Linked DNA regions of Oryctolagus cuniculus. The protein of the gene in region 2 purifies or fractionates together with the protein of the main gene of each other region. This does not show direct contact. Links are inferred from orthologs where the notes say so. Each region holds a gene or a part of one and is shown on either strand. Other genes may lie near its edges.

Region 1 (4,071 bases), on a different chromosome or scaffold from region 2:
TGGGCTTGGTCTTGTTCAGTTCTTCCTGATCGATGTACTTCTCCTTGATCTTCTTGGTTTTCTTTTTCTTGTCCTTGCCGCTGTCATCTTCCTCATCGGAGCCCACATCTTCGATCTTGGGCTTCTCATCGTCCTCCTTATCTTCCTCCTCCTTTTTCTCTTCCCCTTTTTCTTCCTCTGCTTCATCATCACTGATTTCCTTTTCTCTTTCCTTCTCCAACTAAAGCACCCAGAAACACTCGTCAGTTTTGAGCACCGACCCTCAGGGCAAGCAAATGGCCCAGCCCACCAGAAGCACAGGCAGGCTGCCTCCGCGGGAAGCATACTCACGTAGAGGGTGATGGGGTAGCCTATGAACTGCGAGTGCTTCTTCACCACCTCCTTGACCCGCCTCTCCTCCAGGTACTCAGTCTGGTCCTCCTTGAGATGCAGGATCACCTTGGTGCCTCGGCCAATAGGCTCCCCTGCAGACCAGGAGGGCAGGCGGTGAGCGAGCTGCCCCAGGACCGCCTGCTGCACACTCGCCCTGTGAAGCAGCGCCTCCCGGCCACTCACCGTGGTCGGCGCGCACGGTGAAGGAGCCCCCAGCAGAAGACTCCCAGGCATACTGCTCGTCATCGTTGTGCTTTGTGATCACGACCACCTTCTCGGCCACCAGGTAGGCAGAATAGAAACCGACGCCGAACTGCCCGATCATGGAGATGTCGGCACCAGCCTGCAGAGAAGCGGGAACGGTCAGACTCGTGTCCTGCAGAGAACAGAGGCCCGGCCGCACGTCGAGGGCTGGCTGCCACCTACCTGCAGAGCCTCCATGAAGGCTTTAGTCCCCGACTTGGCGATGGTCCCCAAGTTGTTGATGAGATCGGCCTTGGTCATGCCAATGCCGGTGTCCACCAGCGTCAGCGTGCGGTCCTGGGGGCTCGGGATGATGTCGATCTTCAGCTCTTTGCCGCTGTCCAGCTTGGAGGGGTCCGTCAGGCTCTCATAGCGGATCTTGTCCAGGGCCTGCAAGGCAGCACCAACAGCGGATTTCTTAGCCGTCTCTTCAGCGTTAGGAACCTCTTGGATTGCTACTCTCACGCTGTAACTCTGACTGCCCCATCATCCTACACGAACTGTGAACTCTTAGAGTGAGTAATAAACGTGCCATTTAATGGTAACAGAAAATTGCGTCCTTGAAATACCCCTGGAAGTGAGAACCTTGGGCCTCACTGGACTAGGAGCCGCGTGGTCACACTGGCCCGCTCGTCCAGGGAGCACCCGGACAAACCCCTTCAATAGCAATCAGTTTTCCCCCTTCGGGAGGAGCCCAGCCAGCCATGAAACACGAAGGAACTCACATCAGACGCGTTGGAGATCAGCTCCCGCAGGAAGATTTCCTTGTTGGAGTAGAAGGTGTTGATGATGAGAGACATGAGTTGGGCAATTTCCGCCTGGAAGGCGAAAGTCTCCACCTCCTCCTCTCCATGGTGCACTTCCTCGGGCATCTGGAACAGGAGGGTCAAGAATCAGGAAGGTAGCGGCCCCAGAACTGACGCTTCTGAAATTCAGATGGTGTTTAAACTGCTTTGGGCGGGGTTACTGAAGACACGCCCTTTCTTAAAACCTGTGGGGTGAATACTAACAACCACCGAGTCAGGTCAAGAGCAAAGCCCTCCTCAACCAGACAAGCAGGTAGCATGGAGCAGGGGTGACCAGCAGCCGCTCACCACGCTGGTCCCAACCCAGACAAGGGACTCCCGCCCCACGTTCAAACGCCAGCATCACTGACCACACGTCTCTTTGATGTGGGCGCTGGTTTTATTCTCAAACTGCTCGCCCGTAGGCAGCTCTTCTACCCCTGTAGTGTGGATGCGCCCAAGGCCCGATCGCAGCCCCACGCGGCAGGGCACACTGACACCCGAGAAACAGCGGTAACCGGCTCGCGGGGCAGTCCACGCGGGACAAAGAACAGAGCAGGCGAAGGCTGCCCCGTGACGCCCCAGCACCTGCTCGCACCCAAGTAAAATGGTGCCCGGGGCCGCGGACCGACCCTCGTCACTGCCGGACATGCGTCGGCCGCAGCCCCGCGAGAAGGGGGCGCCACAGCGCGCCTCGCCATCGCCCCAGCATCCGGGCACTGGGGCGGAGCATCGGGCTCCAGAAGCTTCGAGAACAATCTCCGCGCTCGGGGAGGGGCGGGGGAGGGAGCCTATGAATCTTCCAGAGCCTGTCCCCTCCCACTCGAGGGCTGCGGAAAAGACCTGCCACACGCCAAATGCGTTTCTGCCCGCGGCGGGTCCCGCACGGACCTCGAGGGCCGAGCAGCAGCGGCAACCCAGGCGCGCAGTGCTGAGTCACCCGCGCGCGGACCCGGCCGCCTCGCGGCCCTCGTAGCCGCGTCCGGAAGTGGAGGGGCAAACATGGCAGCGCCCCGGGCCGGCGCGGCCACCACGTGCAGCCGGCCCCCGCCGCGGCCCCGCGCCGCCGGCCCGGCGCGCCGGTGCAGGCCGACCGGACGCTGGAAAGCCTCCACGCACCACCCCCGCAGCCCGAGCGCGCGGGGACCCACGGGCCGCCCCGCACCGCGGCGTCTGGCTCCCGAGCTGCGCAGCGACAGCACCCGCGGGGGAACGGCCTGCAGGGACGCGGCTGCCTTACCTTGAAGGGAAAGGGCTGCGAGCACGAGAGAGCACGGAGGGCCCGGACTGCCAACCGCACACGGCACGAGGCAGCGCGGGGGTGACTCAAGAGAGCTCTTGGGAGCCCCCAGCCAGCCTATATAAGGCGAAGCACAGCCCAGCCGCCTCCCCCGGATCCCTCCGCCTTAAAGGCGGACGCCCGCGAGCCCCGCACCTGCCGGCGCCCGCCCACCTTGACGTCATGGTCCGGAATAGGGGGCGGGCGGGGAAGAGCCAGAGCCGCCAGCCTCGGTGTGGGCTCGTGAGCTCCTGTTCTCTGCACGGCCAGGGCGTGACCCCTGCCACGATTAGGGACTGAGAGTGCTCATATGCCTCAACAGTGGATCTGCGAGCGAGGACCCCACCGGCTCCCCCAAAAGCCCTCCCACAACCAGGAGGCCGAGCCGACGGGGACTTGAAGCGAGCAGAGGTAGTCACTCCCACCCAGTCGTCTAACTAGGATCTGCCACATATATCCCCCCTCCTCCCGGCGAACGGCCCAGCTGCCTGCAGCCCCCTGGGGCGGGGGAGGGGCGCCGGCCCGGGAGGGAGGGGACTCTTTGCTGGCGTGCGGCGGAAGGAGCGGCGGCAGCGGTGCTGCGGCCACTTCCAGCAGTTTCCAGGCCAGTCTCGGCGGCCCCGCCCCCGCCGCCGCCTCCCCTCGAGGCTCCTCCCCTCGCGCTGCGGCCCGGGCAGTGTAGGTACTGCAGCTCGGGCCGACCCCTGGGCGGAGCGGGTGGGCTGCCGCTGCTCGGCCCTGCTACCCGCCTCGTCCGCCCCCGGAGCGCGGCACTGCCCCGCCGCTGAGGGGCACCTGGCCCTCCGCCTCTCCCGCCGGCCGCACACCTCGGGCAGCGGAAATGTTTTTCGGGCGCCTCCATCCAAGCCGAGACTGGGGGTGCCCATCCCTTCCCGAGCCTTCGCGGCAGCCCCCCAATCCCTAAACACTGGTTGAGGCGCCCTGCTTACAGGGTCACCTCAAGCTATTTCCCAAGCTGGTTTCGGATTTTACGCCCTCGTTCGCGTCTCTAGCTGCGGGGGCAGGGGGAGGGGAGGGTCTCCAGGGACCCCTGCCGGTGGTCGCCTGCCCCGTGGGAACCAAGTTCCTTTGCGACCCTCGGCCATGCGGCAGCCCAGGGAGCCGCGGGTCGCGCCCGCCTGGCCCAATTTGGACCCTTTGCCTGCCTTCCGGCTGCCGGCGGACCTGCCTTTCCCAAGGGTCCCCTGAAAGTCTGCTGGACCCGCGTCCTTCCCAGGAGACCCTGGCCACGCCCTGCTCCGTGCTCCCCAGCCGGCCAGCCCCGGCACCCGGTTCCCCCTCCTTAACCAGCTTTGGCCGCATGCTGGCTTCCAGAGAACAAAGGAGGACCCTTCTTTTCTTTGCGCTGTCCACGTGGTCGTCCCGGCCGTC
Region 2 (3,477 bases):
ACCGCAGCTGGGTCTCCCTGCAGCTAGGGCTGAGAGCAAGGGGCCAAGCCGAGGCTTGCGCCACTGAACTGCTGCTGAAGGACCACGATTGCAGATCCAGCCCAAGACTAGGAGATAGAATCTTCCAGGGACAAGAGGAGGGCCCCGAGGGCCCCGAGGAGATGTCTGTGGAGCACTGGGTGACCCCCTTCATCTGTAGGGTAAGGCGCTAGGGCAGCTTCCTCGGCTGCAGAGCGACAACAGTGGCCACCAAGCCAGACTCCTGGCGTTTGCCCCCTGTCATCGGTTTAGAGCCTTAGCTGCGCCCAGGCTTCAGATCCGCGTCCATGGGCCGGGGATAAGTGGGGTGAGGACGCCCCCTGCCGGTCGGAAAAGGCACTACGGGGTTCGTAGTCGCCCTGCGGGGGCGGGACTCAGCTTCAACCCCAGACCCTGTGTCTTGCAGGGCTCGCGCGGGCGGAGACCCTCAGGCACAGCGGGTATGCGTCGTCCAGTCTTGTCGCCAGAAACTACCCGGGGAAGGTCAGACTCTTGCGACTTTATTACAGAACAGTCCCAAAGTGCGGAGTGCCGCCTGGGTCGGGGGCCCCCCACCCCGGCAGCAAGCAGGGCGCGGCTCCGGGCGCACGGCGGCGCCTGCGCGGGGCTGGCACTGCTCTGCGCACCTCCCGAGGCTTAACCCTGCGGCGGTCAGCGCGAACGACAGGCGTGAAAAGCCACACGGTACTGCCCCGTGGTGCCAACGCACAGAGGGGCTCGGGAAGTCGTTCCAGGGCCCAGCCGGCGATCCTGCGAGGTCGCCTCTACCCCTGGTTCCTGATCCGGAGACGTGGGTGCGCCAGTACCCCCCGGCCCGTCCGGCTCGCCCGCGGCCTGAAGAAGAGCCGCAGCGGTCCACAGGTGCGGCTCGTCCCGGGCCCGAGGCTCGCACAGGTGAGCCAGGGGGCGGGGCCGCGCGCCTAGGGCTGCAGCTCGTACTGCCGCTCGGTGGCCGTGTAGAAGTCCTCCAGCACCGACTGCAGGAACTCGAAGGTGGGCCGCTCCTCGGGCCGGTCCCGCCAGCACTCGGCGATGACGTCGCGGTACAGCTCGGGCGGGCAGGAGTCCGGGCGCGGCATGCGGTAGCCGCGCTCCAGGCTGCGGATGACCTCGGGGTTGCTCATTCCTGCGGGCAGCGGACAGCGCGGGGCGGGGCGCCAGGCTCAGCACGGGGAGGGCGCGCGCCGCAAGGACGCAGATCCCTGCTTCCTCCCGGTCGCCGGCTCGGGCCGTCTCTGTCTAGGGTTGGCAGAAAGGCTGCAGAGAGGCTGTGCGTTTCCTCCTGAATGGGCAGCCTCCCCCGGGGAGGATCCTCTATGATGATCTGTGATTGCCTGAGACACCCGCCACGCACTGGGCAGGTGCCCTGAAAATTCACCCCGGCCGACTGCCAGGCTGAGCGGTGCGGAGAGTGGGGGTTTTGCATTCTGCCTGCTCAGGGTGGGGCTCTGGCATACACCCCAGGTGTAAGAACCAGGGAGAGACAACCTGCCCCCAGCTGACACAGATCGGCTGGGAATGAAGTGGAGTTCACTCTGATTGCTGTTTTCAGAGCTCACTTGAGGTCAGAGCAAAGATGATAAAGCAGCACAATCCCACCCCACCCCCATCCCCGGGACCTGCCTGGGTCTCTGACAGGACCTGGCTGTGGCAAGCACGGGCAGCGCCGGTCTCCCCACCCCCACCCCAGGACGGCATGGGGAGCCAGGCAGCGTCGGGAGAGCTGTGGGGCACAGCCTACCTGGGTATGGCACCCGCCCATACGTGACAATTTCCATCAAGAGGATCCCAAATGACCACACGTCTGCTTTGATGGTGAACACCCCGAACTGGATGGCTTCGGGCGCAGTCCACTTGATGGGGAACTTGGCTCCTGCAGAAAAAGCCCCAGGAGGCTCTGAGAGGTGGTGCCTTGGTGCCCGCACCCCTACACACCCCCAGCCTGCCCCCGCTCTGGGGCCTTGCTGGGCTCGGCTCCTGGACACAGCAGAGCTGCCTCCAGGAGTCACTAAGATACCCCAGGACACAAGAGCACTCCCCATCACCCCTCTGGGTCTTTGCATGGAGGGCACATGGACCTCATAAAAGTGCGTCCATCCGGGATGGCAGAATCTCCCCCTCCCCGCACACGTGAACTTGTCCTGCAACCTGGAGATGGCAGGTGATGTGGGTGCCTCCCTGGGGTGCTGTGAGGCAGGAATCGAATCCTGGAGTCTTTCTGAGCAGCCCATGCTGTGCCCACCTGAGCTTTTCCGTGGCCTTGCTATCTCGGTCACTGAGGGACCAAGCCCATCTCTCCTCCTGGACCTGGACCCACTAGTTACTGTGCTCGCCTAACAGCGACACCTATGCTCACTTTCGCTTCTCCCGAGCTGCGATAGACAGAGGCAGAGTGCTCCGGGGGAAGCCTGACCCGGTGCAGGCGCTGCTGCTCAAAGTCTGATCCGTGAAACTCTGCTTTGGTGGACAGTGTACAGGAACCAAACGGGCAAAGTATTTGGGGCTCAAAATAGCTGGGGGACTGGAGGTGAGGCCTATGTACACGTAAAGGTCACTGCAGGACTTCTCAGTGCCTTTGCTGTGGTGCCGTGCACTGGGGATCAGCTCCAGGCAGCACCCCCACGCCTGTCTCCCTGCAGAGCCACTCCCCTGTGGACGGTCTGCTCTGCCCAATGCACCCAGGACAGGCGATTGTGCAGGTGCAGGTGTGGGTGCCTCACAACGCTGAGGTCCCTTCCCACGGGGGCTTGTGGAGTCCGGGGTTAGGGCAGGCCCGCTCACCCTCCTGGGCGGTGTACTCGCTGTCGATGATGCGGGCCAGGCCAAAGTCAGCGATTTTACAGCTCAGCGCCTCGGACACGAGGATGTTGGCCGCCCTCAGGTCGCGGTGGATGGAGTTCATGTGCTCTATGTACGCCATGCCTTCGGCAATCTGAGGGCACAAGGCCATGAGGTGAAGGGCCGCGCGGGGGGCCGGGGGCGGGGGTGCATGCACCCAGCATCCCCCGCACAGCCCCTAAGCCCCTCACCCACCAGCCCGCCTGCCAAGCCCACCTTACCACCCACTAGCAATACAGGGAGGTCAGGGCAGGCTGGAGTGGGCTTTTTGCTTGCTTCTGGTGGTTGCGTGGGGGTGATACTGTGGCTAGGGAAGGCACGTGGGAGGCAGTGCTCCCCAGCCAGCTCAACCCCAGGCCCCCAGAAGCCCGGCACGGCAGGGACACGGTGGGCGGAGACGCAGGGGCCACCTGTGCATCCGGGCAGTGTCCGAGTGTCTGTGGGGAAGGCGGGCAGCAGGACCAAGGCAAGGGCAAGGAAGGTGTCTGCGGAGGGAGGGAGCAGAACAGGAGGGGGCGGGGAAGGATGAGGAGGGCGTGTCCTCTCCTTGGGGAGCCCACAGTGGGAACCCCGGGCCCTCTGCAAGTTGCTTCACCTTGC

Evidence for each region. The genes of interacting proteins can lie anywhere in the genome.
Region 1: the proteins of BLK (region 2) and HSP90AB1 purify together in Homo sapiens (affinity purification with mass spectrometry; 3 studies listed by BioGRID and IntAct, with this or other methods). This does not show direct contact. The link is inferred for Oryctolagus cuniculus from reciprocal best matches to the Homo sapiens genes BLK and HSP90AB1.

The regions. Positions count from the first base shown.
Region 1 is NC_091436.1:125,882,758-125,886,828, forward strand, and holds the start of HSP90AB1 (heat shock protein HSP 90-beta), read right to left. Parts: upstream 2,848-4,071; 5' UTR 2,641-2,847; intron 1,488-2,640; coding exon 1,341-1,487; intron 1,006-1,340; coding exon 799-1,005; intron 716-798; coding exon 556-715; intron 465-555; coding exon 331-464; intron 221-330; coding exon 1-220. UniProt on the Homo sapiens protein: Molecular chaperone that promotes the maturation, structural maintenance and proper regulation of specific target proteins involved for instance in cell cycle control and signal transduction. Undergoes a functional cycle linked to its ATPase activity.
Region 2 is NC_091433.1:42,965,490-42,968,966, forward strand, and holds the end of BLK (tyrosine-protein kinase Blk), read right to left. Parts: intron 2,972-3,477; coding exon 2,821-2,971; intron 1,913-2,820; coding exon 1,781-1,912; intron 1,166-1,780; coding exon 960-1,165; 3' UTR 524-959; downstream 1-523. UniProt on the Homo sapiens protein: Non-receptor tyrosine kinase involved in B-lymphocyte development, differentiation and signaling. B-cell receptor (BCR) signaling requires a tight regulation of several protein tyrosine kinases and phosphatases, and associated coreceptors.